Mus musculus: one gene and its partners. The protein of the gene in region 3 binds, or shares a complex with, the protein of the main gene of each other region. Links are inferred from orthologs where the notes say so. Each region holds a gene or a part of one and is shown on either strand. Other genes may lie near its edges. The genes, in order: Nup160, Nup205, Nup214, Cetn2, Nup107, Cetn3 and Nup153.

Region 1 (3,710 bases), about 59 Mb from region 3:
GAACCTAACAGTGCTGCATTCTAGAATGTTTTAGAAATTATCCAAGAAACTAAGTCCACAAACAACCTAAATGTATTACCAAAACATATGCTGATTGTTTCTATACAGCAACAAATTAATCAGGTTTTCCTATTAACTTTTCCAATACAATTGTATTTCAACTTATACAGTACACATCTAGGCAGGCAGGGCTACACAGTCCTGCCTCAGACCAATCAACCAATTTTAAAAAGGTTCTTAGTGTGAGCGAGCACCTCAGGGTAAGATCTGTAAATTCCCATGAGCCCAGTTACCTCCAGGCACACTGTAATATTGTCTGTTAAGTGGCTTTTCTTTTCTATTTTGTGATCTGAGACATGTTTTAACTTGTTCCTACTTCAATTGTACATTAGTAATGTCAACATGTTTTCTCAGGAACGCTGAGCACTGAAGTGGAGGATGTATGCATTAACTCTCAGAAATAATGAAATGCAAGGTACCACCAGCTTTAAATCTGTATGCAGCTCAAGGAGTGTAATGGTTTGAATATGCTTGGCTCAGGGAGTGGCACTATTCGGAGGTGTGGCTCTGTTGAAGTAGTTGTGTCACTTGTGGGTATGAGCTTTAAGACCCTCATCCAAGCTGCTTGGAAGTCAGTCTTCTCCTGTTTGCCAAGATGTAGAACTTTCAGCTCCTCCTACACCATTGCAGGCCTGGATGCTGCCATGCTTCCACCATGATGATAATGGCTGAACCTCTGAACCTGTAAGCCAGCCCCAACTAAATGTTGTCCTTATCAGAGTTGCCTTGGTCATGGTCTCTGTTCATAGCAGTAAAACAGCAGTAAGACAAGGAGAATGCTGTAACTTTTTTTTTTTTTTTTTTGAGAAGGTTTTTCTGTGTCGCCCTGGCGGTCCTGGAACTCTGTGTAGACCAGGCTGGCCTCAAACTCAAGCGATTCATCTGCCTCTGCCTCCCGAGAGCTGGGATTAAAGGCGCAGGCCAGCATGCCTGGGTCCACTGTACTTCATTACAGTGAAGCTGCCTCCTCTGCTCTGATGTAATCAGTTTTACTTCTCCCACTTTAGCTACTTTTCTCTATTTTCTTCTCCTCTTTTATGGCAGAGTTTCATGTAGCACAGGCTGACACTACATGTGGACCACATCCTTGAGCTCAGTGCTTCCCACATGCCAGGCACTCTACCAACCGAACTTTTCCGTTTTTGTTTGTTTGTTTGATACAGGGTTTTGCTATATATAGACCAGGCTGGCCTTCAACTCACAGTAATCCTCTCCTCAGCCTTCCAAATTCTGTAATTACAAATGCCTAACCAATTTTACTACTAATAATTTTTATATTCTCTTTCCTTATCCCACTGAAAGTGCTTCAGATATCATTTTCAATCAAGCGTACATCTAACCCAATCAGAAGCACTTGCCACAGCAGCATATATACTAAAACTGGAATGATAAAGAACATATAAATTCATGAAGCTGTGCTGCTATATCATAGCTTATTGCAGTGTGGTGGGAGTGTACAGAGCATAATATAGTCTTATCATCAGACAGGAAGCCAGAGGGCAATTCAGCCTCCATTGTCATTCATACCTGCTCATGAAGCATTAAAACAATTTGGCTTAGTGTTGCACACTTTTAATCCCCATACCTGGAGATGGAGGCTGGAGGATTTCTGAGTTGAAACCCAGCCTGGTTTACATAGTAAATTCAAGTCCAGCCTAGTTCACAGTGAGTTTTAGGTTAGTCAGGGCTACAGTGACACCCTGTCTCAACAAACAGAACAACTCCCCCCTAAACAAACAAAACAACAAAAACAGAAGGTTGTCAAAATGTGGAATTCTGGTTCCTGGCCCCAGATAATCTGACTTAAGACCGAGGAATTGACATTTTAAAGAAGCTACTGAGCCGGGCGTGGTGGCGCATGCCTTTAATCCCAGTACTTGGGAGGCAGAGGCAGGCGGATTTCTGAGTTCGAGGCCAGCCTGGTCTACAGAGTGAGTTTCAGGACAGCCAGAGCTATATAGAGAAACCCTGTCTCGAAACAAACAAACAAACAAACAAACAAACAAACAAACAAACAACAAAAGAAAGAAGCTACCATTCAATATAGCCCACATGTGAATCATATGTTGGAAGTTTGACCCTCCAATGTAGTAGCAATGGGAGAGGAAGGAACCTTTGAGAAGTGGGACCCAGTGGGGGGATGTTTAGGTCAAGGAGGGTCTGTCCACTGTGAAGAGATTAATTCTCAGGAGAGTGAGCAGGTATGAATGACAGTGGAGGGTGAATTGCCCTCTGGCTTCCTGGACCATATTCTGCTGTGTACAGTCTCACCACACTGCAACACACTATGATAGAGCAGCACAGACAGCTCTTACTGGAGGTCAGAATAATGAGCCAAGTGTTCTTGAACATTTCGCTTATAAAACTGTGAGCAAAGTAACCCTCTTTCTCTAAAAAGCTAACCTGCCCAGGTACCTCTTCATGGGGACAGACAACAGACTAATAGATAAGCCTCCCAGTCAAAGATAAACTCTTGTATTATCTGGGAAACATTTTACCTACTATTGTTAAGTTTTTAAACAATGATAGTAGATATTGTTGCATGAAATATACTCATTATTCTAATTATGAGCTCACTATACAATGATAAGTCCCCAGTACTATATGTGGAATTTAAGATAAATTGTTTCATCCTATTAGAGATGATTGAGAATCAAAGCATTTAAGCCAGTGAATTCTCCTTTGTCTTCCACTTCTTTTGATAGTATCTCATTTAGCCTAGGCTGGCCCTGAACTCACTTAGGCTGGCTTTGAAGTTCTTTTGATCCTTTTGTCTCTGCCTCCCAACTACTGCCACAAATGACTTGTAAACCAGTACACTTCCCAAATTATTACCCCACCTCAATACCACGTACCTTGTAACTGTTTATAAGCCAATTAGGCAGAGGAACTCCATGAGACAACAACTTGTTAATCACACAATGATGATACAAGTTATTCTGGACTTTGTATCTTTCCAAGTAAGTTGACAATAGCCTCCATGCTTCATCTGTAGCACTTGGAAAAAGTAAAAAGGACAAAGGAGTTCAGATTCCTATTCTACTAGTTAATTAGGAACTAATTAGTTAATGAATTGGGTAGACAAGGCTGCTCTTAAGACTCTCCAGAGTAGGCAGAGGCAGGCGGATTTCTGAGTTCGAGGCTAGCCTGGTCTACAAAGTGAGTTCCAGGACAGCCATCGCTGTACAGAAAGACCCTGTCTCAAAAAACCAAAAAAAAAAAAAAAAAAAACCAAAAAAAAAAAAAGTTATTTTGCCGGGCAGTGATGGTGCACACCTTTAATCCCAGCACTCGGGAGGCAGGGGCAGGCGGATTTCTGAGTTTGAGGCTAGCCTGGTCTGGTCTACATAGTGAGTTCCAGGACAGCCAGCGCTATACAGAGAAACCCTGTCTCGAAAAAACAAAAAAAAAAAAAAGACTCTCCAGAGTGCTGTGATCATAGGTGTTAGCAAACATATCAAAGCTTATTTTTTATCTATCCCCTATCTATCTATGCATCTTGTGTGTGTAGGCTCATTTGGCATAGTATCCATCTAGAAATTACATAACACTTTCGGGAGTTGACTCTCTTTCCCACCATGTACCAGGGAATCAAATTAGAGTCCTTCATAAAAGGTGCGCATGCTCTTAGCTGCTGAGTCATCTTTCCA
Region 2 (3,710 bases), on a different chromosome or scaffold from region 3:
TCTTAAAACTGTGTTTTAACTCTTTCACAAAGCTCTTCCTACACTTCCATACTTACTTTCATTGGCATAAATGCAAGGAAGTCTGTGATAAGACTGTGGATTCTGCGGATGTAAAACTCTTCCTGATAGAAGTTTTCAGCCAGCACAACAGCCTCGCTGAGGAACAGGAAGACATTATCAGCAATGGCCAGCTCTGCAATTGCTTCATCTGCTTCTGTGAACTCAGCCAGGGCTACAGATTCAGAACACAGAAAAGCAAAATGAGAAAAGCCTTTAACTCAGCTTGTATCTCATGACAGAATGTTAGTGAAGCATATTTCAGACATTTTTCCAGCCTCCTAACAGGTGCTATGCACAAAATGAAATTATATATAATTGTAATTGATTCACAAACTCCAAAGAACTACTAAAAGAGTACATTTGAAATACAAATGTAGCTGGATATGGTGATGTATGCCTTTAGCCCCAGCACTCAGGAAGCAGAGTGCTGAGTTTGAGGCCAGCCTGGTCTTTGTAGCAAGCTGCAGGCTAGCCAGGACTACATAGTGGACCTTGTCTCAAACAAAGCAAAACAATTGTAAGAGCACTGGCTCTTCCCATAAGTGACTTGCTAATCAATGCAATGTTAACACTGATATAGACAGAGAGCTCTTATACAAACATAGCATGCAAAAACAATATAGGAGCTTTAATCACAGACATTTCCAAAGGTTTTCTTGTTATTGTTTTGACTTTGTTTGGGTTGGTTTTATTGAGGCAGGGTCTCAACTGTGTAGCCCTGGCTAGCCTGGAACTCACTTTATAGATTAGGTTGGTCTTCAACTCAAGAGATCCTCCTGCCTCTGCATCCCAAATACTAAGAGCCCCACCTTCTAGAGAGGTTTACTTGAGGAAAGACTCACCTTGAATATGATTGTTTCACACCATAGGCTAAGGCCCTAGGCTGAATTTAAAGAGGAAAAAAAGATCGCAAACTAGCGCAACACCATATTATCTTCCTGCTTCCTGACTGCAGATTCATGCCATCACTTCTTATACTCCTTCTGAGCTCTATCTGCCATGACAAACCCCCACAAGCCATGGGAGCCAAAATAAACTCTTCCTCCCTTGAACCTCATCTTACGCAAACCTAGAGAAGTGAAAAAGCCTTTGTATTTCAAATTACAATGAAAGGACAGCTGGTAAAGCAAACCATTCTAAGCATCATTTCACGAATCTAGACAACAGAATAGCTTGCCCTGTGTAGAACAGGATTAAGTAAATGGCCCTATTGTCTTAGCTAGGGTTTCATTGCTGTGAACAGACACCATGACCACGACAACTCTTAAAAGGACAACATTTCATTGGGGCTGGCTTACAGGTTCAGAGATTCAGTCCATTATCAAAGAGAGCATGGTAGTGTCCAGGCACGATGCTGGAGGAGCTGAAAATTCTACCTCTTGTTCTGAAGGCAGCTAATACTTGCTCCCACGTGGTTAGGAGGATGGTCTCATTGCCCACCCCCACAGTGACCTACTTCCTCCAACAAGGACACACCCACTCCAATAAGGCCACACCTTCTAATAGTGCCACATCCTAGGCCAAGCATATTCATTCAAAGCATCACACCTATCTATGCTTGATTGATCCAAACATCTCCTTTCCAACACACTGAGTTTAAAAAACTAGATCTTCAGTTTGATACAATGTGAAAAAGTTTGTAAACAAAAATTTAAGTGGTGGCACACATTTAATAATCCCAGCACTTTAGAGGTAAAGCCAGGAGAATGAGAAGCTCCAGGGCACCTTTAGCTACATAGTTTGGGGCCAGCCTGGGATACATGAGACCCTGTTTAAAAAAGAAAGAACTAGAACCGTAGCTCAGTGGCAGAACCCTCCTCCCTTAGCACATATTTAGAAGGCTCTAAGGTCAATCATCAGTACCACAAAAAAGAAAAAGGATAGGTATGACTCTGTGGGAGTCTCACTCTTCTCAACTCCTACACTGAAGGTAAAGACCTCTCACTAGATTCACAAAAGGAGGTAACCTCTGAGGTTCTCTTCTGAGACAGCAAATAAGGTGCATCTCAGTTCTACTTTACAAAGTTATGAGGGGTGTGTTATTGTTGTTTTTGAGACAGTCTCTCTATGCAACCCTGCCTGCCTGGAGCTCGACGTAGACTAGGCTGGCCCCAAACTATAGAGATCCGCCTACATCCTGAGTGCTGGAATGAAAAGTGCTAACACAAATTTTTATCAAACAACTTGTATTTTCACGTGCTCATATTTACACTTTCTCTTTCTGATTTAAAATTTGATATTTGAAAACAAACGCATTTAGAGCTGGAAAGATGGCTCAGTGGTTAAGAGCCCTGGATGTTGTTCCTCAAAAAAACCCAGGCTCCATTCCCCACATCCACATGATAACTAGAAACCATTCCTAACTCCAGGGAATTCTTGGATCTCAGGTAATGTTAGACACACATGTGGAATACAGACATATATGCAGGCAAAACACTCGCACATAAAATAAGTCACCTAAAAACTTTTAAAGGAAGAAAATCAATGCATCGCTAGGTACAGTGGCAGAGCCAGTTCTCTCCAACCTTCCTTCCTTACCTGTTACATCCGGTAGCTGGGATATCCCCCTCAACGCCAGGGCCCAGGCAAGCCTAACAGTGGCCTGCAGTCCAGGAAGCTTCCAAGGCTGAGAGTCCTGGAGGCGAGAGTGAATTGTCGAAACGTACTGTCTCTCTGTCAACAGTGGAAGGTGGTGAATCATATCTGAAAACACAAAATTACATCACTTCACCAAAAAAGAGCAGAAATAAATTCTCACATCCGTCACACATGGATATCTAAAAGTCATAAACACAGCATTTTCAAAAGGAATGATGACTAATTAACATCATTATTTGATATAACAAAATATCTGTATTGCTGTTAAAGTATTATATGCATAAAAACTAAAAACAACAACCCTAAATTTCAGTTAACAACTTCCAATAAGTTTCATAGACAGCAGAAATTAGAAAAAGAAGCACTCACTGTTTTTTCTATACAGGAATTCTAAAATATAAATAAATGCTCTCTAAAGATAAAATGAGTCACCTACTTCTCATACACAAAAACTATGTCAAAGAGAAGTAAAGAATCTGTGTTTCACAAGTTTTACAAATGTGAGTAAGGAACAAAGCAGGCAGCTGCAGCAAAGGCAGGCACGTGCACGCGTGACCACATTGCTTTCTACCGTGTAACACCGTCATTTCAGGAAACCACCTGCACAGGAACAAAGCTGAGCACAGGGGGCGCACGCCTTAAGCCCAGCACTGGGGGAGCAGAGGTGGGCAGATCCCTGAAGTTCGAGGCCAGCCTGATCAACACAGTAAGTTCTAGGACAGCTAGGGCTAAACAGAGAACCTCTCACTCAAACACAAAACAAAACAAAACAAAACAAAACAAAACAAAACAAAACAAAACAAAAAACAAAGACAGAGTTTGCTGTCGTTGCTATTAGAAAGCAAACTTAGGGCCTCAGGTATGGTAAGCAATTCCTCCATTACAGAGTTTGGCCTCAGTCTTAAATTGCATTGCACATTTAAAATGTTTCAAACTTGCCTGGATTGCACAGACAGAAACAAAGAAGAAAAGTTGTATTTTGGAAATTAAAATATTGTCCTTCTTGAATGTTCCCTCACAACTTAAAATTTTATTTTTGAAAATAAATGTAT
Region 3 (4,199 bases):
TCCCAGTTGCTTACATTTTTTTATGCTTATAAACCCTGCTGATTCAGTCCCCAATCAGAGCTGCCAGAAGGAACAAGACTCCTGGAGTTCTTGTCTGGCAGTCTTGATCATCAGCAACTCTGCTTATGTGTATTAACATAGAAGATTTTGCTGTCTCACCAGCCCACTGGTGCACTCTCCCCACTTCCTCCTGATGCACGATGGATACAGAGTAACAATACCTTGGATATCTAGTTACAGGAACTAAGCTTAACTCTCCTGTACATAGGTAATGCTGCTTTAAATATCCCAAGACTCTTGCTATGGCCCTTGCTGAAAACACTTCTGCTCAATGCTGCAGACACACGTTTCCGTCTGCAGGGTGATACAGCCATGCCTTCTTCTGGATGGCTTCCCAGAGCCCACGTTCAACTGAGCACAACAGTAAGGTCTTCTTCCCTCTCATCTTAGAGAAGTGGCTCACAGAAACAATAGCAGAGAGCTGAAAAGAAAACTCAGAAAGGCCTTTGGCACCCTAAGTGGAAGCTCCCTGCAAGGCCAAAAGAAATCACAATTTTGACATCAGAATCGTGTCTTAGTAAGGAAATACACTGACTAGTATGCTACTGCAGCCCTGGCTCTGCTGCACACTATAAATCAAAGAACGTGCTTACCAATTTTATTGGGATCATCTCCAGGTTTATTTTGGATAAGAAGGCTTTTAGTAGGAAAAACATTCAAGCCATTGGTGCCACCAGCGAAGAGCATACCATACTTATTGGATATGGTAAGCACACTCGAGCGCTCCTTGGGCAACTCTTCAGGAGAGTCAAAGATCCTCACTTTCTTCAGTGCTCTAAACTGAAAGTCCTGTTTTAGAATAGGAAACAAGATCAAGGAAGAAATTAAATCATGTCTATTATCATAGTCCATAAATGCAATTTCAGGATAACAAAAATATACTTATTACCTTGAGGCCACCAATTTTGTTTTTAGACTCTGTATTTGGTGGTGCTTGGTATAATACTCATTAACATTTGCTGAATGAAATAAATAGAGAGGGCTGGAGAGAGGAAGCAATGGTTAAGAACACTGGCTGCTCTTTCAGGGGATCTAGGTTCAATTCCCAGAACCCACATAGCAGCTCACAACTGTCTGTAACTCCAGTTCCTGGGGATCTAATACCCTCAAAAAGTGTTAATCTGTAATCACTTTGTTAAGCTCTATCTGTATCCTCCACCACACCTCCTAACTCTCCAGCTAGGGATTTTAGTGAAAAGAATATGACAGCTACAAGAGAAAATGTATTTCTACAGAACCTTATGAAATGCTTCATAAAGGGTGTCTAGCACACCCACACATACTAATTTTCTTGCAGTCCATGTTTAATACATATTTACTGGAAGATTTTTATGAGCATTGGTGTTCTGCCTGCATGTGTCTGTGTGAGAATTAGAGCTACAGACAATTGTGTGCTGCCCTGTAGGTGTTGGGAATTGGACTCAGGAGCTCTGGAAGAGCAGTACTCTTAATCCCAGTTGAATACGGTGGGTAAAAGTTCACACAAATTTCCCCATGAGGCCACACTGGCCATTCATAAAGAAACAAATCATCTATCTTTTTTGATATTATCATCCTAATAGTCATGACTGTACCACTGGGGCTTGGTGGCTTTTTTTGTGGTGGGCCAGTGTGATGAAGCAACACAAAAGAAACAAAACAAAACAAAACAAAACAAACACAACAGACAAACCCAAAACCCAAACCTCTCCTTTCTGCTTTTGGCAGGAATTAAAATACTGCTATTAGCCCTGTGGTTCTAAATTCTCTACCCGAACATATCTGAGGAACATGAAGCTTGCCCATTACCGGGCTCAGCACATGTGCTGACTCAAGGAAGAGCCACTGTTTCTAAGCATGATATGGAGCACTCGACCCATGTGCATTTTAGCGACTCACCGGTCACACAAATGGCTAACACCTTCCTGCAACTCACTCATTTCCAACTGTCTACGGTCCCCTGCCTTTCCATTCTGTCAGAGTATATAAGCCAACTATTAACACAGTATCCAGAAGTTGTAGCATGGGGATCACTTAGGGTTCGCTTGCTTTTCCTTTAGTCTCATGAGTTCAAGCTGATTTCCAGTGCCAAACTTGACTTCCTGTTCCTACTAACTAGGGGTTTTGAAGGCAGATAGTGTTTCTTGGCTCCACTTTAGGTAGTTTGGACCACCCTCAAGTATAGAGAGCTAATAAGAACTGAGCGTCTAAGCCAACTGTGGTAATGCACACCAATAATCCCACCACTTGGGAGGTGGAGGCAGAGACAAGAGCCCAAGACCAGAAGCCACCTTGAGCTACAAGAGACCATGCCTAAATCGTAAGAGAGATGTAAGGCTTTTGCCACGTGACTTTGGATCATTTGCTTTCAAGGCTTCAATGCGCTCCTCTTTCTAAGCTGGTCGTAAGGGCTGCAGCGACGGTGGCGACAGTACGTCTCACTCAATAAACAAGAATCGCTGTCACCAGTAAGGCGACCAGCCCATCAGAGTACCTGGGGTAACTCAGAAGGCGTGGACAAACCCACGCAAGGACAGGTACCTGCACTTGCAGGGAACTCAGGCCCGCGACACGCAGAGCTGCGGACGCTCTGTGGGGCGAGCGATCGCGACCCTGCGAACTGCAGGAGCAGCCGGCAGAGGCGAGGCTCCAAGGCAACTCCAGGACTACGCAGGCGGGGAGGCCCCGGCCAGGCTCTAACCTTCATCTCCCGCTCAGGGATCATGGCATCCATCTCGTCTCCCATCGTGCCGCCTTCAGGGTGTTCAAGTAGCTGCTGCTGGCGCTGCCGCTGCCACCCGCGGCCTTTCAAACACAGCTCAGGCCGCTCAGGCCTCAACTTCCTTCCCTCAGCGCCCGCGGCGCGTGGTAGATGCGCGTTTCCGGCGCGCGTGACTGACGTCACCCAGGCCGGTTTTTAGTGTGCTCGGAGGCAGTCGAGGGCTGCTCGGAAGTCGCGCGCTTGCCAATCCACAAGGCCCCATTGGCCGGTTCCGCGCAGTGGGTGTGGCCATGAGGCGCGGGCCGGAGTCCGCCTTCCTTTGGATGCTGCGTGCGCAGCCTCGCTATTTAATTTTCTTCCTTAGAGAGAGGCACGCTCGGCCTTCCTGAGACTCTCGATGCTTCCCGGTAGCACTTACCTGCAGGGCTCTTAGAAGCTTCCGACTTAGAGAAGTTAGGAACTTTTTTGCTGGGAAGAGCGGACAGAGAGGTTCGGTTAGCGGGTGGACTGCACTGTGTGCCGGTGCAGAACCCTTTTAAAAACGGAGAGGAAAAGGGACAAAAGATCGGTTTTGTTTACTGTTTTCAAGGCAATCGTTTCAGATCATAAGCCATATCCACTTCACATCGCAAATGGTGCGCGGCTATCATCTCAGCTTTTGGGGATTAGAGGGTCAGGAATTCAAGGTCTTCCTAGGCTACATAGCAATCTCTAGATATCCTGAGTTACATGGGACCCTGTCTGGAAAAAAATATGTAATAAGAGAATTCCACACAAAGCAGTTAAATTATCCAATAGCTTTCAGCCAGGAAGGGTTAAGATTCAGATCTGCGTATACTGACTGATGTTGAAGACATTTCTGGAGTAGAATTATAAAAGAGGTTCCTAACTTGGAGCTGGTGGGTCAGCTCCAGAGGGCACATTCTGTCAGATGCAGTCTCTCAACAAGTTGCATGTGTGCAAGCCTCTATTCATTGTAAAATGCTAACAGTAGACCTGGGTCTTGGGCTTAATCAGATGACGTCAACTGTCTGTCTGGGACATGGGAGACCCAGGACACACTCATTTACTTGGTACCTGTTGTCAGCTAGCTCTTCTGAATTTACTGAGCCCAGAGCTGTCCCCAAGAAACACAAAGACACTGATAAATTGCTCTAGTTTATTTCAGTCTGCAGGAGACCACATCCCATCCATACATACACACATGCACACAATAATGGCACTCACCCAAATCTACCTTACAAACATCTTTTGAGTCACAGGGCAAAGCCATACTTGGCAATCCCCAAACTGCTGGTTACACCAGTTACATTTGGTCTTTTTCAGAAATAAGGCAGCCGATGTCCCAAGAAAGCTAAGCCCTTAACTAGAGAGGTTAAAAACCCTGGAACCAACAGACACAACTTGAAATATATGCCAACTCCTCCATTAAAGGGTC
Region 4 (4,278 bases), on a different chromosome or scaffold from region 3:
TGGTGATAGCTGTCATGATATATGTCCTTGGTCACAGGCAAACAAGTATGGTACATTGTAAAAAAAAAAAAAAAAAAGAAAACATACTTAGTAAAGTGAATATAAACTCAGGGGTTACATAGGAAATATAATTGTATATAAAGTACTGTACAAAACAAGCAGACACTAGATTCATTTTTAAAATATAGAAGCAGTGAGTAGGGTTGTAGTCAGGGAAAATACATTGCTAAAACAGATAGACTGATAAAGGCAGAGGAGGAGAGAGGTATTTTTCACAATGGCCTTCAAAGAATTACCAGGGCCCTGAGTCCTTGTAATGCAGAAGAGCAGAATTTCTGAAAGCGTTCAAACCTCAGCTATTTCAGGAAGGTTCTTGCCAGGAGGTTCAGGTGGAAGAATAATCTAGGAACCAATCTTAAGTGTGAACCATTTGTCTGAAAATGTCAGATTGACACCTGATTTATTGTATGATAATTTAATTTTTAATAATAATAAATTAAAACCAAAAATGACTAGCATTGAAAATCTCGGTGTTAAAAGTTTTTACTGCTTGTGATTATCATGTGGCCACATGAAACAAGATAATGCTAATACCTTAAAGAAAGCCAAATGAAACGTAGAGATCCTCTCAATTAAAAATACTATCTTCTCCCATGTGGAAGGGATAGATTTTGTTGGATAAAGCTCTTTGTATGTCTAGATTCTCATGTTTCTACCATTATGGGTAGAAAGCATGCTAATTATCTTAACTAACTTACCATTTTCTGAGTCATCACTGTCAAAAAGTCACTGAAGTTCATTTTTCCTGTTCCTTCTTTATCAATTTCACTTATCATTTTCTTAATTTCTTCTTTCTTGGGCTCAAAGCCCAGGGCCCTCATTGCCACCTACAATGAAAACAGAATCATCTAAATAGATACATAACGTAAAAACAAAAATGACTATTGAAGATATTAACCAAACACCTGATAAAATGATGGAAATGATCAGGGAACACTTAAGGCTGATTTAATTGATATTTGCAATCAACTTTATCAATTAGACCATTGTTTCAGGTAAAATATACACAGGGTACCCTTGTCTGTTACTTTTTGCAGGCAGAAAGGAGAAGAACGGTAACAGCTAAAAGACAAGCAATAAGGAAACACAAGGTAACAAAGAAAAGGATGTGTGCAGCTTACCTTCAGTTCTTTGATGTCTATAGTTCCAGTTCCATCAGCATCAAAGAGATCAAAAGCTTCCCGGATTTCCTGTTTCTGGTCTTCAGTAAGTTCAGGCTTAGGACTCATCCTTTTTCTCTGGGCACTGGATGCCATGGTTGTCTTCTTAAAATTAGAGGCCTTCACACAATATATAAACACAGAAGCACATTATTACAAGCCATAGTCCTTGTTTTATTTATGACAGCTCTAAACATACATATCTTTTTCAATGAGGTGTGCCATCGTTTGTAATGTACTTATGTCATTACGTAAACTTCCATGGGCCAGTGAGAATTCTTGCTGCCAAGCTTGATAACCTAAGTGGGAACCAGGACCCAGGCTTCAGTTGTCGTTGTCAAAGATGAAAAGGGAAACGATGCTTACATGGTAAAAGGAGAGAACTAACTCTTCCAAATTATTCTCTGACCGCCACACTCAGGCTAAAATGTGCTTCTCCACCAAGGAATAATAAGTGTAAAAACTAAAATAAAATTAACCCCAACTCTAAATGACAAATAGCACAAACCTCTGTGAAGAAAAAACTTTCTCTCAACTTAAAACTATTTCAATTTATATATGTCAGTTTTTACTAAGTTATAAAAAAAGAAATTGGCAATAATGAGGTTATTTTCTAATATAACTGTAAATTTGTCTTAATGTGATGTCTCATATGACTAAATTCAACTATATTTCATTGGGGAGCCACCAAATAGAAGAGAGTTTTTGTTTTAAAATAGTATATTACCATTTTCCTCCTTGTTCTTGTATAGATCAACATAGAGCAAGTGAATATATGAATATGAATTTCTAGTGTTAACATAGCCTTCATGAGAAGACATAACTCTGACCTCCACTGTCTTAAAGTTTATACTACAGAAAGTTCATGCAATTGTACCATTAATCCATGTGTCACTTTAGGAGATTCAATTTCAGTCATTTTTAAATCTAAAAAAGCATCATCAAAAGCTCTTTGAGAAACCAATTACAGTTATGGATGATCAACTGTATATGATTTCCGTACTCTCGGTTTTAGAAATGTACTTAAAACATCTACTTGTGGTGCCAGTTCCCAAGAACTCTGCTCCTCCAATTACTTATGCCTAAATTTGGCTAAATGTAAACTTACTAAGATAAAAATTATGCCGGTACAAAGTGATAAAAATCAAACCATTTGCACCTGCGTGCTTTCTCACAGCCTCTCCTGAAAGCGTTTGCGACCATCAGAACACAGTAAACCTCTTAGCACCAATGCATAAACTTTAACTGGGTGGCCGCGGCCAGGAGGCCTGAGTTTGACTGAGGCGGAAGTCTAAGGGAAGCAATAGAATGGTCACCCTGCTGTTTCCTGAAAGCCAGCGGAGGTCCAGAGGCAGTTTGTGCGGGGGTGGCTGAAGGTGACTTGGGCGAGGAGGGGGTAGTGGGAAAGAGCAGGCAAGGCAAGCTGCTGGCGGCTGTACTTTCTCTTCTACCCTTCCGGCACACAGCTCCAAGGAAGAACTAGTGCGTCAACGCCAAGAACCGTGCAAGAAAGGTAGCAAGGCTGCACCGAGGCCTAGGAAAGGACCGGGGACGCCGCGTGGGGTCCACCGAATCCCTAGCACTTACCATCACCCAACGGACTCTGCCACCGGTTGTTAAGGCAACGGCGTACTCGCAGCCTCAGCGGCGTTCCCACTGCTCCACGCGCGCACAGCCCGCTTCCCATTGGTTTGGGAACGAAGAGGTGGGGCTAACCTGGCAAAACTCGCCCAAGAGCAAGAGGGCGGTGCGTCGGCAGCCAAAGACTAGCCTCATTGGGCAAAATCATGCTGTGAGCGTCAATTGGTTGCGCCAGAGCCAAGCTAGACCAATCAACATTATGAAGGAAGCTCTGCTGATTGTGGGCTCATATCTATCAGTAGAAAAGGGTGGCGGGTGTTCAGCCAGACTTCTCTGGTTGCCGGTTGTCTGCAAGCTGAGGTCGATCATTTGAGTGTCTAAACCGGGTAAGAGTTGCGGGCTTGCCCTTAGAGGCTGCTGCGTGTGGGTGACAGAGCCTGGAGGAAGTAGGAGGGAATGGGTGGGACCCATTTTAAAACCGAGTTGGGGGACACAGAACATCTGAGGGGCCAGCAAGATATGACCAAATGGTTTGGAGGGGTGACTGTGCCAGGAGAAGCTGAGACCTCGAAACTGGAGTGGGCATGCTGAGTATTGTGTCAGTGGTTCACAGGGCTGGGGCTTAGAAACCCAATCCACATGAGGCTTTGTCTTTACATTAGCTCTACAAGAGTCACTTTAGCTCTCAGGGGAATGGGCTGGGGACTTTTAGATCTTCAAAACTCATCAAAATGTGTCCTGTTAGACGTACAGACACTCAAGTCACATGGGAAGGAGCATTCCTGAATGAGACTCCCTTGAAAGCAAAGCCACAGGAGTTTTGGAAGTATGGAATGTAAAGAGAATTAAAGGGCAAAGTGCACAACGGGTTGGGGCTACCTGGAGCTGTGCCAGGAGTAATGAAGGCCCAGGGTCGAACACAGATTCTATGTTCTACGTCCCTCAAAGCAAAGAAAATCAGTTTAGGGACTTTAAGGGCACAGTATCAGTCTCTCAAACTGAGAAAGGCCTGAGACTTAACAGCTCCCCATAAATGTAATATAGGCCCTTTGCCCTCTTTCCTTTAAGCCAGGAACCGGCTTCAAAACTTTTGTGTCTTGTTTGGCTCCTTTGTTCACTGCAGCAACAATCCCCCATATCCAGCCTCTGAGTTCTCACAGTTCCGTCCTTGAATTGTCCTCTGTTTTCTCTGTTCCTCCTCAGCCCTTCCTCAGCAGTATGAGCTGGAGTTCTCACCATAATCTGCAAAGCCTGCCATGAAATTCCTCCTTCTCCCATCACACCCACACTGTTCCCCCTCTGGCTCACTCTCACCCAGGGCACTATTTTTGCGGCTGATACATTCCTTCACTGACCTTACCCAGTCCCATGAACTTTTTAAAATTTTTTAGTATTTTGATTAATTCTTTGAGAAAATTTCACAGGTAGATATAATTTTTTTGTTTTGAGATAGGGTCTCACTCTGTAATTCTGGCTG
Region 5 (4,306 bases), on a different chromosome or scaffold from region 3:
ACGGGCACAGTAAAGAAACTGCCACCGTGACTGCTCCGTTAGGGATAAGGTTTTTAATGTGGGTAAGAGAGAGAAAAGATCCAGAGGCACCTGGAAGTGCCCAGAGCGGAGAGAAAAAGAAACAGGCTGGACATGGCCAGGGCCGGGGAAGCTAGAGAATGGGAGAGAATAGTTACATCAGCAAGAGATGGGAGTCAGGACAGAACACACCCAGACACCAAATGCTCAGCACAAAGGAAATGTATTACCCAAGACGGACAAGCAGAAGGTGTTGCCTCCGTCTGGATCGGCCAAAGAAGGCAGCAGGTGTCTCTGCAGGAGAAAGGGGGAAGGCTGTGCTAGGATGAGTTGGTAAGTCCTAAGTGGACATGTTAGCCAGCTAGTGAATTTTGATAGTTGGACCTCGGAGTTTTAGTCAGGCATAAGGATGTGGCCAAATAAGGGAAGAGACCTTGGTGGCTAGGTTTAGGAATGTAATCTAACGGTTTAGCAAGGGAGAGGGGAAGGGAGAGGGCCACACCTGCTGGTGATGTGTCTGCAATGTCTGCGCCTGTTGGAGCTCTTCAAGATAGTTTTGTGTGCAAGATGAGAGAGCAGAGACTAGAAATTAGTGCAGAGTCGGGATTGTGGGGACAAGTAGCTAAGAAGACCGAAGGAAAACGCATTACAGGAGTTCCTGAGGAATGCTGGCGTTTATCTAACCGCCAGAAATCAGAAATGGTTCAGCCAGAGCTCATTTCTAGATATTTGGAGGGCCTGAGACCTAACATTTTTGAGGTACTGGAACAGGTAAGTATTCCCACGCCCAAAACTTTTAAAATTTATGATAATAACAGCAACAATAATAATTGCTATTATTACTATCGTCAGGCTTTCTTAGTGCAGGCTTGCTTCAAAATCGTGGTTCTTCCTCCTGCCTCAGCCTCCCATGTGGCTTTCTTATGCTTTGCTTTTTTTATTGGATTTCTTAAAAAACGGCTGATTCCGTAAAAGAGAAATAAATAACGAGAGAAAACAACCTCAAAACCCGTCCAGTGAGGTTACACCACAGTTCAAAGAGGTGAGCGCCCCGAGACAGGCCAGATCCCGTAAAGTGGCGCTGAACCGCAAACAAGAACGCTGAATGCAGACTCTTCAACAGATTCCTAAAGTCCAGGTTATAGACTTCCGGCTTCCCAGAACAACGCCCCACCCAGACCACGCCCACAAGCCAGGCTCAGGCGACATACCCAAGCTCCGCCCCTTTCCCCGCCCCCTTCCTGCCTGGCCGGCACCACCCAGCCACGCAGTCACTCCCTGGCACACTTCCGCGCCTGCGCCCACTGAGCCTGCGGCTGGAGACGAAAGTCGCGCATGCGCCGAGCGGGAACATTGTTTCTCTGGGACTGGCTTAGCCAGGCCGCGCTTCCGGGTCGAAGGGTGTGCTTCCGGAGAGCGGGAAGGCTGAAACGCGGCGGCCAGGCTGCAGTCAAAGAGTTGCAAGGTTCTAGGCGGAGACCGCTGAAGCCATGGACAGGTCAGTCCTGGTAGGGACGCCTCGGCCGAGACTGGGGCTCTCGCCTGTTAGCGACGTAACCGCCTCCGCGGCCAGGGATTTGGCCCTCGGTGGAGGAATGGACGCTTGGCGCGATTGGAGCGGGGATGTGAGAATGCGGATCCCCGGGGTTCCACGCCGCGCCTCCCGGGTCTTCTCGGCGCTCGCTCCGAAGTGTGCGGGGGTCTGTGATGGTCCCGCATTCGAAATGCGAAATGAAGCAGTTCGAGCTCAGGGCCATCAGCCGCACTGACAGTTCAGCCCAGACGTCCTCAGCGTGGTTTTATTGCGGTTATTAAGTCATGTCAGCTGTACGTTATTGGGTAACGGTGGTCAGCTTAGACTTTAAAGTGCCGGCCCTAGGGAGTTGAATTTCTCCCTCCCTCTCAAATGATTTATGCTCGCCTGACACGAAGATGGGTTGTTTAAGGCCCTTGGCATCGGGGAGTAGATTGTGTAGTGAAGACAGTCGAGCAGTGTAATACGATGTATTTATACTGTACTGCGGGGAAAATAAATGAAGGAGATGTTTTATCTCCCTGTCACAGGAGTTTCAGGCAAACCTATAAAAGTAACTTGCTAGCTGGTCTTTTGAGTAATAATAGCACATTATTGATACTGAAAACATTGTGCTAGGGGTTATCTTATGTGTGTTCCTTAAGCTTTAAGTGGCACATTTAGTTTTAGAGCAATCCCGTGAGGATCTTATCTATATAGAACAGTGAGCCTGTAAGAGATTTAAGGAATGGCATAGTTAAATAGAACCCTGTTATGGGGCTGGGGATATAGCTCAGTGGTAGAGTGCTTGCGTAGTAACCCTTAGGTTCTGGGGGGGGAAAGAGAAACATTACCAGCAGGGACCTTTGAATCTCCATAAAGCTGTTTGATGAATAACTTAAGTAGATAGATGAACATCCAGTGACAGGGGAACACATATAGACCTCTGTAAAAGAAACATACTCAGATATAAAGTCATGAAAAATGTTCACGCTTGTGTGGCTGAATGCTCCCAGCAATGCGGATGGACTTGATGGGCAGAACTAAATTAGGATGGTGGTGTAAATACTGTGCTGGTGAGTGTTAGCTTGAGTCTGCAGAGAAGAGGAAGCTGGCTGGAGATTTTAAGTGGAAGAAAGGTGTACTAGAAGGATAATTAAAATCAACCCCCATGGTTTAGTTTATAAGCTGTCAGATGACAGTGCTGGAGGCCCATAGCACTGTGCTAAGACAGGAGACATCCTTAGTCTACATGGAGGGAAATCACTTGAAGGGCCATTTCTCCTCTTCACTAGAATTGCTTCACTTTTTCTTTCATCCCGCCAAGCCATATCGTACTCACAGTCTGAAGTATAGTCCTGGCTGCATAGCAGTGTTTGGTCAGCATGCAGGCCAAAAATATAACAGTGGTCCCATATGATGATATTGCCTAGTGACATGATGACTGGCTTAGCTTGTATAGATATATTCTGTGAAGTTTTCATGAGGATTAAAAAAAAGAAGAATTCTCAGAGCCTGTTCCTTCTTTGTTTGGGTTTGTTTTTGAAGCTGCTTTCACCCTGTCTCAGATTGGCCTGGCACTTCCTATGTAGTACAATTTGGATTAGAGGTGTGAGCCTGGGCTAAAACCAAGCCCTTCAACAAGCAGCTAACTCATCACCGTATTTTAGAGAGTGCAGAGTCCTTCCTTGTAGAGAATTCTGTAGTCAAGCAGCTCTTTGGTCTGATGGAGGAAAAGATTTACCTTTATGAAGCCATACTGTAGTATAAATTTCGGGTTCTAAGATAACTCCGCGGAGAACATACTATTGTGATACTAGGCAGTCAAAGACAGGGCTGGTAGCCGAGCACTGGGTGGGATTTGGGGGAGTAAGCAGGACTCAGAGACAAGAGGTTATTCTTGCCAACAAGATCCAAGACTTGGCTATTGGGGTGAGCCGTCCCTCGACTGACGAAGATCCTTTCTTTGCCCTAACTGTAACGGTAGTCCTTCAAAGATGCCGTCTAAGACCTTGATTATACTGTTCTAGGAGTGGCTTCGGGGGGATGTCATCCCCTGTGATCCGGGATGCGGAGGTGACGAGGACTGCCCGGAAGCACAGTGCTCACAAAAGAGTTCTAAGTATCCTTCGTGTCAGGATTGCAGAGTGCAGGGTGCCGTGAATCAGGGCTGTGGGATTAAACATTAGCTGGGATAGAATTTGGCTTACCTCCATTGGGGTTTACATATATGTTTACATACACGGGACATACATGTTCTCAGTGAATGTCAGTGAGCTAAGATGCCTGTTTCTCTGAAAAGCATGTTGTCTCACTACTGGTATGCCATAGTAGTCAAAACTTATTATCTAGTCTCTATCTGAGAATTTAAATGACAGGTGGCTTTAACAGCTGTACAGAAAAGGTGGTGCCCATAAAACACTTTGTTCTTGAAAGAAGTGTGCTCATGTATCTGTGTAGTAAATCCTTGCTTGACTTTAATGATTTTTCTTTTCTCTACATGGAAACTTTCCTTAATTCTTCCTAAGTTCAGGCCAACCAAGAGGACAATTTTGGTACTGCTACACCAAGAAGCCAGATCATTCCTCGAACGCCAAGCTCCTTTCGACAGCCTTGTAAGATTTTGTTTGTGCTTTGGAAGTATTTAATGAAGTAGCCAGCTGGCATTTGTATAATTTTCATTATAAAATATTTAGCTACAATATCAGGAAGTAAGCATAAATAGTAATGATTACAGTTATCTGAGCTCTTATGAACAAGGACCTGTACTCTATA
Region 6 (4,510 bases), on a different chromosome or scaffold from region 3:
ACAGGGGAAGAGCTGGTGGAAAGGATGGGAGACAAAACCTGGGACTGAGGGCTGTGAGCAGAGCTGCCACCTTCTCCAGGCAGGGAGGCTCTGAGCAGAAGTAATCAGTAACAAGTGGAGGTAGTGGAGACAGCCGCATCAAAGGGCAACAAACGCAGAGGAAGCCAGGAAAGGCTTATGAGCTAACAACATGGTCAAAGAATTCAAGAAAGATAGATATGTAAGGGTAGTGTAAAGACGAATAGAAAAGGAGGAAGCTCGAGCTGTGAAACCAAGTCCCAAACCGAAACAGTCAATGCCAACAAATGGCGAGACACTGTACAGGACGGACTCAGACTGCACGGGAGGGAGCGGCAGCAAGACACAAGTGGGATGGGGAAGGAGCGAACAGAGGGCCTCAATATTGAGGCCCCAGCTTCAGGCCTGTAATACTTTCAGATAGTCTATCCTCTCACCTCAGTTTCTATCTACCCCTACTTGAAATGCTTAAAAATCACCTACAATGTTGCCCAATTTAAAACTACAGTTAACATTTAAGATATCAAATGTTATCTTTCTCACTGGGTTGAACATAAGAAATGTGTTCATAACAAATTTCCCCCTCGATCTTTACTCGTAATTTTAATCCTTAAATTGGGTATTTTCCCTCAGCACATAGCAACATTAGGCATCAGACAATTTATATCCTTTGTAACAGAGACGAGCACACTAAGAGTGTGTTAGTACTATTTTAAAAATTAAAAGCTCAATCTCAGAAATGTCTGAGCAAAGGCAACTATCTCTCCATCTCAAAACTTTTTAGGTTGCACTACAGAGATAGCTCAGTGAGTAAGAGTGCTCCTCGCCCTGCAATCTTGAGGACCAGAGTTCAAATCCCCAGCACTCATGTAAAAAGACAGGCCTGGCTGCAGGTGCCAGTGACAGAGGTGTGTTGATTGGAGTGACCCCAGAGTTCACTCTCTAGCCAACCTAGTTCAGAAGTACTGAACTTCCAATTCAATGAGACAGTCTGTCTCAAGGCAACAGTGTTGGAAGGCACACAAGGCCGTACTCTACACTGCACATGATACACATGGAATGTACAGGTCTGCACAAGCAACAAGCATAGGCCACAAACATCGTGTTTTAAAAAGCTGAGCTATATACCATCCCACAGAGGAAAACAGCAGTGGGAAGAGCATGCTAAGGACTCTCCCTTTAACTGGGTGAATGGAGAAGTTACACTTTCCATCATTACGCACTTAAATACAAGGTTCTACAAGCCATATTCTGTTTGTACTGTTTTCTTGTACCACCTGTGGGTGGGCACTACAAACAGCCTCACAGTTCCGAGACAAGCTTCTAAAATAGACTTTAAAGCAACAGTCACAAATGCAATTGAGTTAAACAAAAATGGGTCTTAAAAGTCCCCTGTTACCTTTAATTCATGATAATCTATGGCTTGGTCTTTGTCGGTATCAAACAGCTCAAAAGCATCTTTAATTTCTTGCTTCTGTTCTTCAGAGAGCTCTCTTCGTTTTTTCCTTTTTGTTTTGTCTACTACAAGCTCACCTCTAGGACACAGAAAAATGTCTTTAGGCCACTTTAACCCATCTTAGGACAAAGATTCATTTTCTAAATTTTAACAAAGCAGAGTAGCCTGGCAAATAAAGGAACTGCCCCTAAATCAATGTCCTGTAGTCAAATGTACTTTTATAAGAGAAATCCTAAACAAAGTCAAAAGCACCGAAAACACCATACATATTATTCATGTCATCTACCAAAAATAAAGAACAAAACAATGTCATCTACCAAAAATAAAGAACAAAACAATCAACCAGAATAGACTTGATTTTGGACAGCTTATAAATTCTCACAATTACTACAAAAAAACAACCATAAAACTTAAAAGATTACTTTTGCACTGTAAGCTCAAAATGTTTTTAGATTATACATTTGTAACACTGCTTTGTGGTTTTATTCCACTGATATTAGCCAGGCAAAATATAAAAGGGTCTAAACATTCAAATACTAGACACCAAAAAAAAAAAAAAAAAAAAATCACAGCATCTAATAGTCGTGCTTAAGTCTACGTGATGTTTAAAAGTGTTTTAACTCTCACTTAACATGTAAACGATAGGTTAAACGTCTTAAAACTCTGGAGAAGCTTAAAGAAAAATCTAAAAAGGGCACTTGGATCTGAAAATGTCTGCCTTCAAAAGCTGCCAATGCAAAAAGCGGTCCAAATGTGTAAACGAGGATACAGCACGTGTATCCGCACGTTCTAAAAGATGGAAGCTTTAAACCTCAAACCCTTGAAACTCGGCTAACTAACTGCTCGCGCTATTTACGTCTGGACGCCGTCGGGCTCAGGGACGCCGGCCCAGTGGCCCACGTGACCCCGGCTGCCCCCACTCGCCACACCCCCACGCCAGCTCCCGCCTCCTTCGTCACCCTGCGGAGCCAAAGGGGCGGCGCGGCGCGGCCCGCCCGGGGCACCTTTAACTGTAGATGGGCAAGGTGAGGAGCCAATGAGGGGAGGGATGGACGGAAGTGAAAGGACGGTGTCACGGAAACGAGCTCCACCCGAGACGCCTAGAGCACAGCGTGCCTCGGGGCCCGGGGAGAAAGGCGAGCGCTCCTGCGACTTTCCAGGGGGAATCAGGCAACCAGGGCTGAGTCCCGCAGTCGCGTGAGGGAAACCTCGCGAGACTTCACTCGGGCTGCGGCGGTGCCCGGAGGCGGGAACCGCCGAGGTCTGGTGCTCGGCGCTGGGCACCCGCCCCCGACCCGGTCTCCCGTCCACACCCGCCCTGGCCCTCTGGGGGGACGGAGGCACGGCCTCCTCGTTACCGACCTCAGAGCTAAACTCATTCTCTCTTCCGACAGAGATGTTCCACTCGGGGACTTTACCACGGGAACCGCTCAACAGCCACCAACCTCCACGCCTCGGGGACCACCCACCAGACAAGTTTCTGGGCGCGATTGGCTGAAATTGCCAACAGCCGGCCTATTGGGGCGGAAGCGTCGCTGCTCTTCTTTTTTCATTGGTCAGCATTCATGTCAATCAAGTACACATTTTTTGGCCCTGGTTGTCAGTCTGGCTCCCTGGATTGGCCAGGTTCTTTCCCGACTCCCTTGCGCGCGTATTAGAGTCACCACGCGAGACTCAGGCAGGCAAGGCGAGGCCCCACGCGTGACATGCACGGCGTCGACCGAGGGAAGGGAAAAGGCCAGCCCAAGCAGCCTGCTCAGAACGAGGGAGCAGTTTATTGGGGAACCAGGTCTGCGAAAAGATGTACAATTTTAGGTGGCCGGTGCACCTGAGAAACTTAAATCTAAAGGCGACATTCTTTATTCTTAGTTCAGTGAGGACCAAGCTAAGCGTTCTCCCCCGTACATCTCCCAAGTGATTTTAAGGCAGGCTGGATTATGGATTAGGCTTCTCGTTTTGCTGTTTTGTTAGGTCATTTACAATGAGACTAGCCAAACCACCCTTTTCTTCTGTGCGATTGGAAATGTGTGCTTGCTTCTGCTTCTCATTTTCTAGTGCTATAAAGTGTTTATGTGCGTCTTATCTTCACTGCCCACCAAGCCTCTTAAAGTTTACTTAGATCATCAGACTGCGAGCGAGACTGACTGTCTTCAAGGCCAGGGTTCTGTTTACACGAGTATTTGTACCAAACAAAATATCTGGAACTTAGGTGCTCCATAAATATTTGATGCATAAAATGAGGTATTATTGTGGAAAACTTGGAAACTACTGAGCTAACCTGCAGTGCTTATCGGTATAAATACAATAAACTGGGGCTAGGAATTAGAAACGGCAAATACTGTATGTAAGCTTATATGTGAACGAAGGACGCTGTGTAATTGGCTATGCATGAGTTAAGCTAGAGTGTAGATAGGAATTTGGACAAGTAAAGGATTGGGATAAAGCTAAAAAGTAATAGCTAAATGATAGCACTCCCAAAACCAAAGTAGAAAAATGTTGAAGAACTCAACTGGGCATGGTGCTACACATGTTTAATCCCAGCACCCAAGAGACATGTAAGCAGATCTTTGAATTCTTTACATTGTGAATTGCAGGCCAGCCAGGACTAGTAGTAGACCCTGCCTAAAATATAAAAATTAAGTACTTTTACTAACAAGTTTAAAAGGAAATTAGGCCAAGCAGTGGTGGCTCACGCCTTTAATCTCAGCACTTGGGAGGCAGAGGCAGGTGAATTTCTGAGTTCGAGGCCAGCCTGGTCTACAGAGTGAGTTCCAGGGCAGCCAGGGCTACACAGAGAAACCTTGTCTCGAAAAAACAAACAAACAAACAAAAAAAGGAAATTAGATTACGTCATATGTATACTAAAGAACACTAGTGAAAAAAAAAACTACTAAAATTTTAAGATTGTAAAACCAAGCCTAAGAAGAAAAGTATTAAATAAAGGTGAAAATAAACCATTTACATGGAGATGTTTGAAACAAAGGACAAAATAAACTAAACTAGAAGGAATAAATTACTGAGAAATAATATAATGAG
Region 7 (4,329 bases), on a different chromosome or scaffold from region 3:
CTTGTAACTGTTTGACCTTTATCTGGTTGATCAAGACAATATCTTTCTAGCTCCACAACTTCAAGCAAGGTGGCTTTAAAAAAAAAAAGAAAAAGAAAAAGGAAGAAAGTTAAAAGTAGAAAAATGCTAAAGTTTAAACATTTCCCAGAAGACCTAAACCAGAAGTCAAAACAGGAAATCAGAAATCAACTGAACATGATACAGGAGTCACAGGTACTGGGTGACTGCAGTAGCTAGCTCCTTGGCCTGACATTTGCTGTCCTGCATTCACCAATAAGCACCAGCCTGCTTACTCTGAGTCTAACACAACTCTTCAGTCTGCCAAGAGGCCATGGACACTTATCAAGCATTAGTATGAAACATGCCATGTCATGAAACTCCTTGATATATCCAAGATGATGACTCAGCAGTTGCTGCAAAACAACCAGTTGACAAGCTCGGCTAGTAGAGGACAATGACATCCACTAAGTCCGAGGTAAGACTAGTTACTTACTTTAAGACAGAAACAAAAGCTGAGCTGCATACTTTTATATAAGCCTAAACACTTTTTTCTTTGGTCAATTCTGCCAAAATTAAATCTGCTAACCAAAAAAGAGTTATCTTTAATTCCAGTTCAAATTAAGATGTACTTACATTTTAAATTAAATGACTGAGGCAAGAAGCTAACATGTCTTAGAACTACTGAGCTCTAAAACCATACAGCTTGAAATCTGTACCAGCTCTAAAACATGTTTGGTTTTAGTTGAATGCACTTCTCTCTCAAATTAGTTTGGTTTTTTTTTTTAACCTAAATACATTTTAAAATAAGCTGTGATCATAACTTTGGCTTCTTTCTAAATTCTATCATAATATCATACATAATATTGGCTTCTTTTTAAACTCTATCCAAGCCATCCATTTCTTTGCTCAAACTGTTTTCAAGCAATCAGAGGTGGTTCATTACTCTTAGTATAAGAGTATGTTTGCCTTAATGTCCATTGTACAGTATTAGGCAAAGTAAAACGGCCAGGCTTGTGACCTGATTTTAATCTTAAAGTCTGCTTCTGAAGACCCCGGGCTCCTCAGCATTCAGGGAAAATGGTAATATTGCAAGGCTTCCAAGCAATGACAAATAACTTCTTAGTACATAAAACACAGCTGTTTCTATTCAAAACTTTCCCTATCTTTATTTTAAAAATCTCAAAAGTGATATAATTTAACATTACCAACAAGTATTCAATTTTAGCACTAGCCAGAATAAACAAAAAGTCTACATTTAAGAGTATGCAACAAGTTATATATTAGCCCTTCTTCAGTAAGCTTAAAATATACACTTCCTACTTTTAAAAAGTGGCTTCGTTAAAGTGAGTTTTTAACGTTTTAATTCTCACAATTTTTAATAACTGAAAGTGTTCTCTGAACCAACTATCTCGTTTACAACAAGAATCGACATTTTTATAAACACCCAAAGAAGGCATACGGTGGCTTAAGTAACACCCCTGGTGAGCCCGAAATACCTTAAACTTCTAGAAAACGCCCAGTATTAAAAATATTTGGTGTATGAGATCAGAGCTGAAGAACTGGTCAACTGTAGAGAGTGGATGATTCTGGTCTTCAGTATATAGAGCGGGGTGGAGAGAAGAGAGGGAAGAACCACGCATCAGAGACCAGACGTAAGAGCGGCGAGGGACTTTCAAAACGCCTCAGTGCCACATAACTATAACTCAGTTAAGAGAGGAAAGGATGAGAAGCTAAACCAGTGTGTTCCGATCTGGAAAGGCCAAGCAGACAGACGAGGGGACCGGACTACCATTAATGATTTAACGCGTCTAAAACCGAAATTATTCCACGATATGGGTAACAGCGCCCCCTCCCCAAGTCTCTCCGGGCCGCGGTGGCAGATTAATCTCCCCGCGCACCCTGAACCCGGGAACACAAGAAAGAAAAAGCCTGCCAGCGGATGGGCCTGTTGCCACATCTTTCCCTTGTTCCCTTCGTGAGGTCGTGAGGAATACCATTTAACCCCCAAAAACCCGCCAAAAAAAAAAAAAAAAAAGAAGAAGCAGCAGCAGCAGCAGCAGCCCGAATATCCGAAGCCTGAGATTTCTTTTCCCGCCCTGTGCCCGCCAGGGAAAGCCCTTGGGCGGGAGGGCTGGGAGAGGCCGCTCGCATCCCACGTGTCTGCCGCCAGGCCCGGCCAGGCTCTACCCACTTCCCGTCGCCACCCGGGTCCAGCCTCAGGCCCTCTGGTCCCCTCCACGTGGGGCCGCCGGGTCCTCGCACCGCCCCCCAAAGAGACCGCCCGGAGCCGCCCAGTCGCCACGGCGTACCGGTCCCGTACCTGGTGTTGGGGTCGCCCCTGTTGGTAAGGCTTCACCGGCCCCTGGTGGCAACGACGAGTCCGGATCTTGCCGCCGCCGCCGCCCCCTCCTATGCCTCCGGCTTCCGAGGCCATGGCGGAGCCTGGGCGGCCTCCCACTACCGCTCCCGGGCGGGAGAGGCAGAGGCGGCGGCCTGAGGGCCTCCCCCGCCCGGCCCTAGGCGACACACAGACACAGCGAGAACCGCGAGGGAGCGAGCGGGAACTGAGAGTGCGCGCGGCGGCGAGGAAGGCGGTGGCGGCGGCTGAGGGCCCCGAGGTGGCTGAGGAGCGCCGGCCGCGTGCGGACCCCCGCGTCTGTGTTTGTCACCGTCTCTATGGAGATCTCCCGCCGAGGCCGGCGCGAGCAGCTCCGGGCGCCGCTGAGGCCTAGCTCGACCGCCCGCTGCTAGAGGCTCCTCTTCAGTCGCCCTGGCCGTCGCTGCCGCAGTCCAGGCCGCTGGCGCCGCCCGCCAACCCCTCCCCCTGTGCGCGCTGCGCCCGCCCCACCGCCGCCGCCGCCGTCGTCGTCCCTGCAGTCGTCGCCGCCGCCGCCGCTCTTGCGCCTATTACCGCTGTTGAGGCGGCCGCCCCGGTCGCGAGCCAGAACACCGTCACTCCTCCGCGACCGACGCTTTGCGTCATCACGCTGCGACAATGCGGGGGGGGATGGGTGAAGGAAGGAAGGGTTGGCCGAGCCCGCGCTCCCTGTCGTGGGAGCCTCTGGGAAATGTAGTTTTTCTGGCCAGAACGCGGATTCTCGGAAAGGCAGGCTATAGCGGAAGGACACCCACGGAGCACCGCAGAGGCACAAAGCCCGGGTCATTTGGCGGCGGTTGGCTGCTTGTTTAGATTCAGAAGGGCACTCGACACGAATACTGTAATCTCCCATTCATCAATTATAAGCCGAATGGAAGTAAACAGTAAAATCAAAGAACCATAATGCATCACAATCCGGGGGGGGGGGGGGGGAGACCGCGTTGAAATTAACCGTGGCCGCGATCCCCAGGCCAAAAACAAAGTAGGAAAGGCATTTGGCACTTGGGAGGCAGACACAGGGGAATGGCTAGTTACACATTACCCTCAGCTTCATAGTGAGATTCTGTCTCAACGAAAGCAAAAAATACAACTTCATTACTGTTTCATTAAACATATAAGGGCTTTGTTGTCAACACACACCGTGCTGGCATTCTGAGTTGCTTCACTACTTACAAACTTGACCTTGGATGACTCTACTATTTAAATCTACCTTATAAAGTTGTGGGGAGCTAGTGCGGTCGTCTGTGTAGAGAGCACCCAGTAGATTTCCTGGTATACAAGAAACGCAGTAAATGGTTGCAATTATGACCTATGCAATCAACACACATTAAGGGTGACTCATATATCCCTAGTAAACATATATTTGCTTCAGTTAATATTATAGTTAGGTGACTAAACAATGTATCCTCAAAGACCGGATACACCGTGTTAAAGATGCAGGCATTAGACAAAAGGTCTGTGTGATCATGTGGTCCAGCCTAGTCATTCAATGGACTATATGGAAACCAAGAAAATTTAAGGGGCACCATTAAGGGTATCGATTTAGAGCCTGGCTGGTGACAGACATCTTTGATCCCAGCACTCAGGAGTCAGATGTAGATGGATCTCTGTGACTTCAAGGCCAGCCTGGTCTACAAAGCGTTTTCCAAGACAGCTAGGGCTGCATAGAGAACTGACTTGGAAAAAAATAAAAGAGGGTGGATATCTAATTGGGCACTCAAAGCCAGGACTATAACCCAGGGTTTTTTTGTTTTTTGTTTTTATGAAATAAGTAACTATGATTAGGAAAAAGAATCGATTATGGAGAATCATAGACTTAATGTTCTATTAGAGAACAGCGTTCTAAAGTTTATAACTATAAAATCAAATAGATTGTTTGAATCTGTCACTTACTAGCTGTGTAGCCTTGGGGAGATTAGTGATCTTCTTTCTAAGCTTCACTTTCCTCATCT

Evidence for each region.
Region 1: Nup214 (region 3) and Nup160 share a complex: the UniProt entries of both Homo sapiens proteins name them as parts of the nuclear pore complex. The link is inferred for Mus musculus from reciprocal best matches to the Homo sapiens genes NUP214 and NUP160.
Region 2: Nup214 (region 3) and Nup205 share a complex: the UniProt entries of both Homo sapiens proteins name them as parts of the nuclear pore complex. The link is inferred for Mus musculus from reciprocal best matches to the Homo sapiens genes NUP214 and NUP205.
Region 4: Nup214 (region 3) and Cetn2 share a complex: the UniProt entries of both Homo sapiens proteins name them as parts of the nuclear pore complex. The link is inferred for Mus musculus from reciprocal best matches to the Homo sapiens genes NUP214 and CETN2.
Region 5: Nup214 (region 3) and Nup107 share a complex: the UniProt entries of both Homo sapiens proteins name them as parts of the nuclear pore complex. The link is inferred for Mus musculus from reciprocal best matches to the Homo sapiens genes NUP214 and NUP107.
Region 6: Nup214 (region 3) and Cetn3 share a complex: the UniProt entries of both Homo sapiens proteins name them as parts of the nuclear pore complex. The link is inferred for Mus musculus from reciprocal best matches to the Homo sapiens genes NUP214 and CETN3.
Region 7: Nup214 (region 3) and Nup153 share a complex: the UniProt entries of both Homo sapiens proteins name them as parts of the nuclear pore complex. The link is inferred for Mus musculus from reciprocal best matches to the Homo sapiens genes NUP214 and NUP153.

Annotation. Positions count from the first base shown.
Region 1 is NC_000068.7:90,729,026-90,732,735, reverse strand, and holds part of Nup160 (nuclear pore complex protein Nup160), read right to left. Parts: intron 3,058-3,710; coding exon 2,916-3,057; intron 476-2,915; exon of another isoform or gene 1-475. UniProt on the Homo sapiens protein: Functions as a component of the nuclear pore complex (NPC). Involved in poly(A)+ RNA transport.
Region 2 is NC_000072.6:35,190,927-35,194,636, reverse strand, and holds part of Nup205 (nuclear pore complex protein Nup205), read right to left. Parts: intron 2,764-3,710; coding exon 2,599-2,763; intron 233-2,598; coding exon 57-232; intron 1-56. UniProt on the Homo sapiens protein: Plays a role in the nuclear pore complex (NPC) assembly and/or maintenance. May anchor NUP62 and other nucleoporins, but not NUP153 and TPR, to the NPC.
Region 3 is NC_000068.7:31,973,150-31,977,348, reverse strand, and holds the start of Nup214 (nuclear pore complex protein Nup214), read right to left. Parts: upstream 2,900-4,199; 5' UTR 2,786-2,899; coding exon 2,741-2,785; intron 850-2,740; coding exon 654-849; intron 1-653. UniProt on the Homo sapiens protein: Part of the nuclear pore complex. Has a critical role in nucleocytoplasmic transport.
Region 4 is NC_000086.7:72,915,507-72,919,784, forward strand, and holds the start of Cetn2 (centrin-2), read right to left. Parts: upstream 2,839-4,278; 5' UTR 2,811-2,838; coding exon 2,808-2,810; intron 1,341-2,807; coding exon 1,182-1,340; intron 888-1,181; coding exon 759-887; intron 1-758. UniProt on the Homo sapiens protein: Plays a fundamental role in microtubule organizing center structure and function. Required for centriole duplication and correct spindle formation. Has a role in regulating cytokinesis and genome stability via cooperation with CALM1 and CCP110.
Region 5 is NC_000076.6:117,789,814-117,794,119, reverse strand, and holds the start of Nup107 (nuclear pore complex protein Nup107), read left to right. Parts: upstream 1-1,414; 5' UTR 1,415-1,508; coding exon 1,509-1,516; intron 1,517-3,561; coding exon 3,562-3,653; intron 3,654-4,059; coding exon 4,060-4,146; intron 4,147-4,306. UniProt on the Homo sapiens protein: Plays a role in the nuclear pore complex (NPC) assembly and/or maintenance. Required for the assembly of peripheral proteins into the NPC. May anchor NUP62 to the NPC. Involved in nephrogenesis.
Region 6 is NC_000079.6:81,781,684-81,786,193, reverse strand, and holds the start of Cetn3 (centrin-3), read right to left. Parts: upstream 2,948-4,510; 5' UTR 2,854-2,947; coding exon 2,837-2,853; intron 1,554-2,836; coding exon 1,418-1,553; intron 1-1,417. UniProt on the Homo sapiens protein: Plays a fundamental role in microtubule-organizing center structure and function. As a component of the TREX-2 complex, involved in the export of mRNAs to the cytoplasm through the nuclear pores.
Region 7 is NC_000079.6:46,725,040-46,729,368, forward strand, and holds the start of Nup153 (nuclear pore complex protein Nup153), read right to left. Parts: upstream 2,811-4,329; 5' UTR 2,435-2,810; coding exon 2,321-2,434; intron 476-2,320; exon of another isoform or gene 1-475. UniProt on the Homo sapiens protein: Component of the nuclear pore complex (NPC), a complex required for the trafficking across the nuclear envelope. Functions as a scaffolding element in the nuclear phase of the NPC essential for normal nucleocytoplasmic transport of proteins and mRNAs.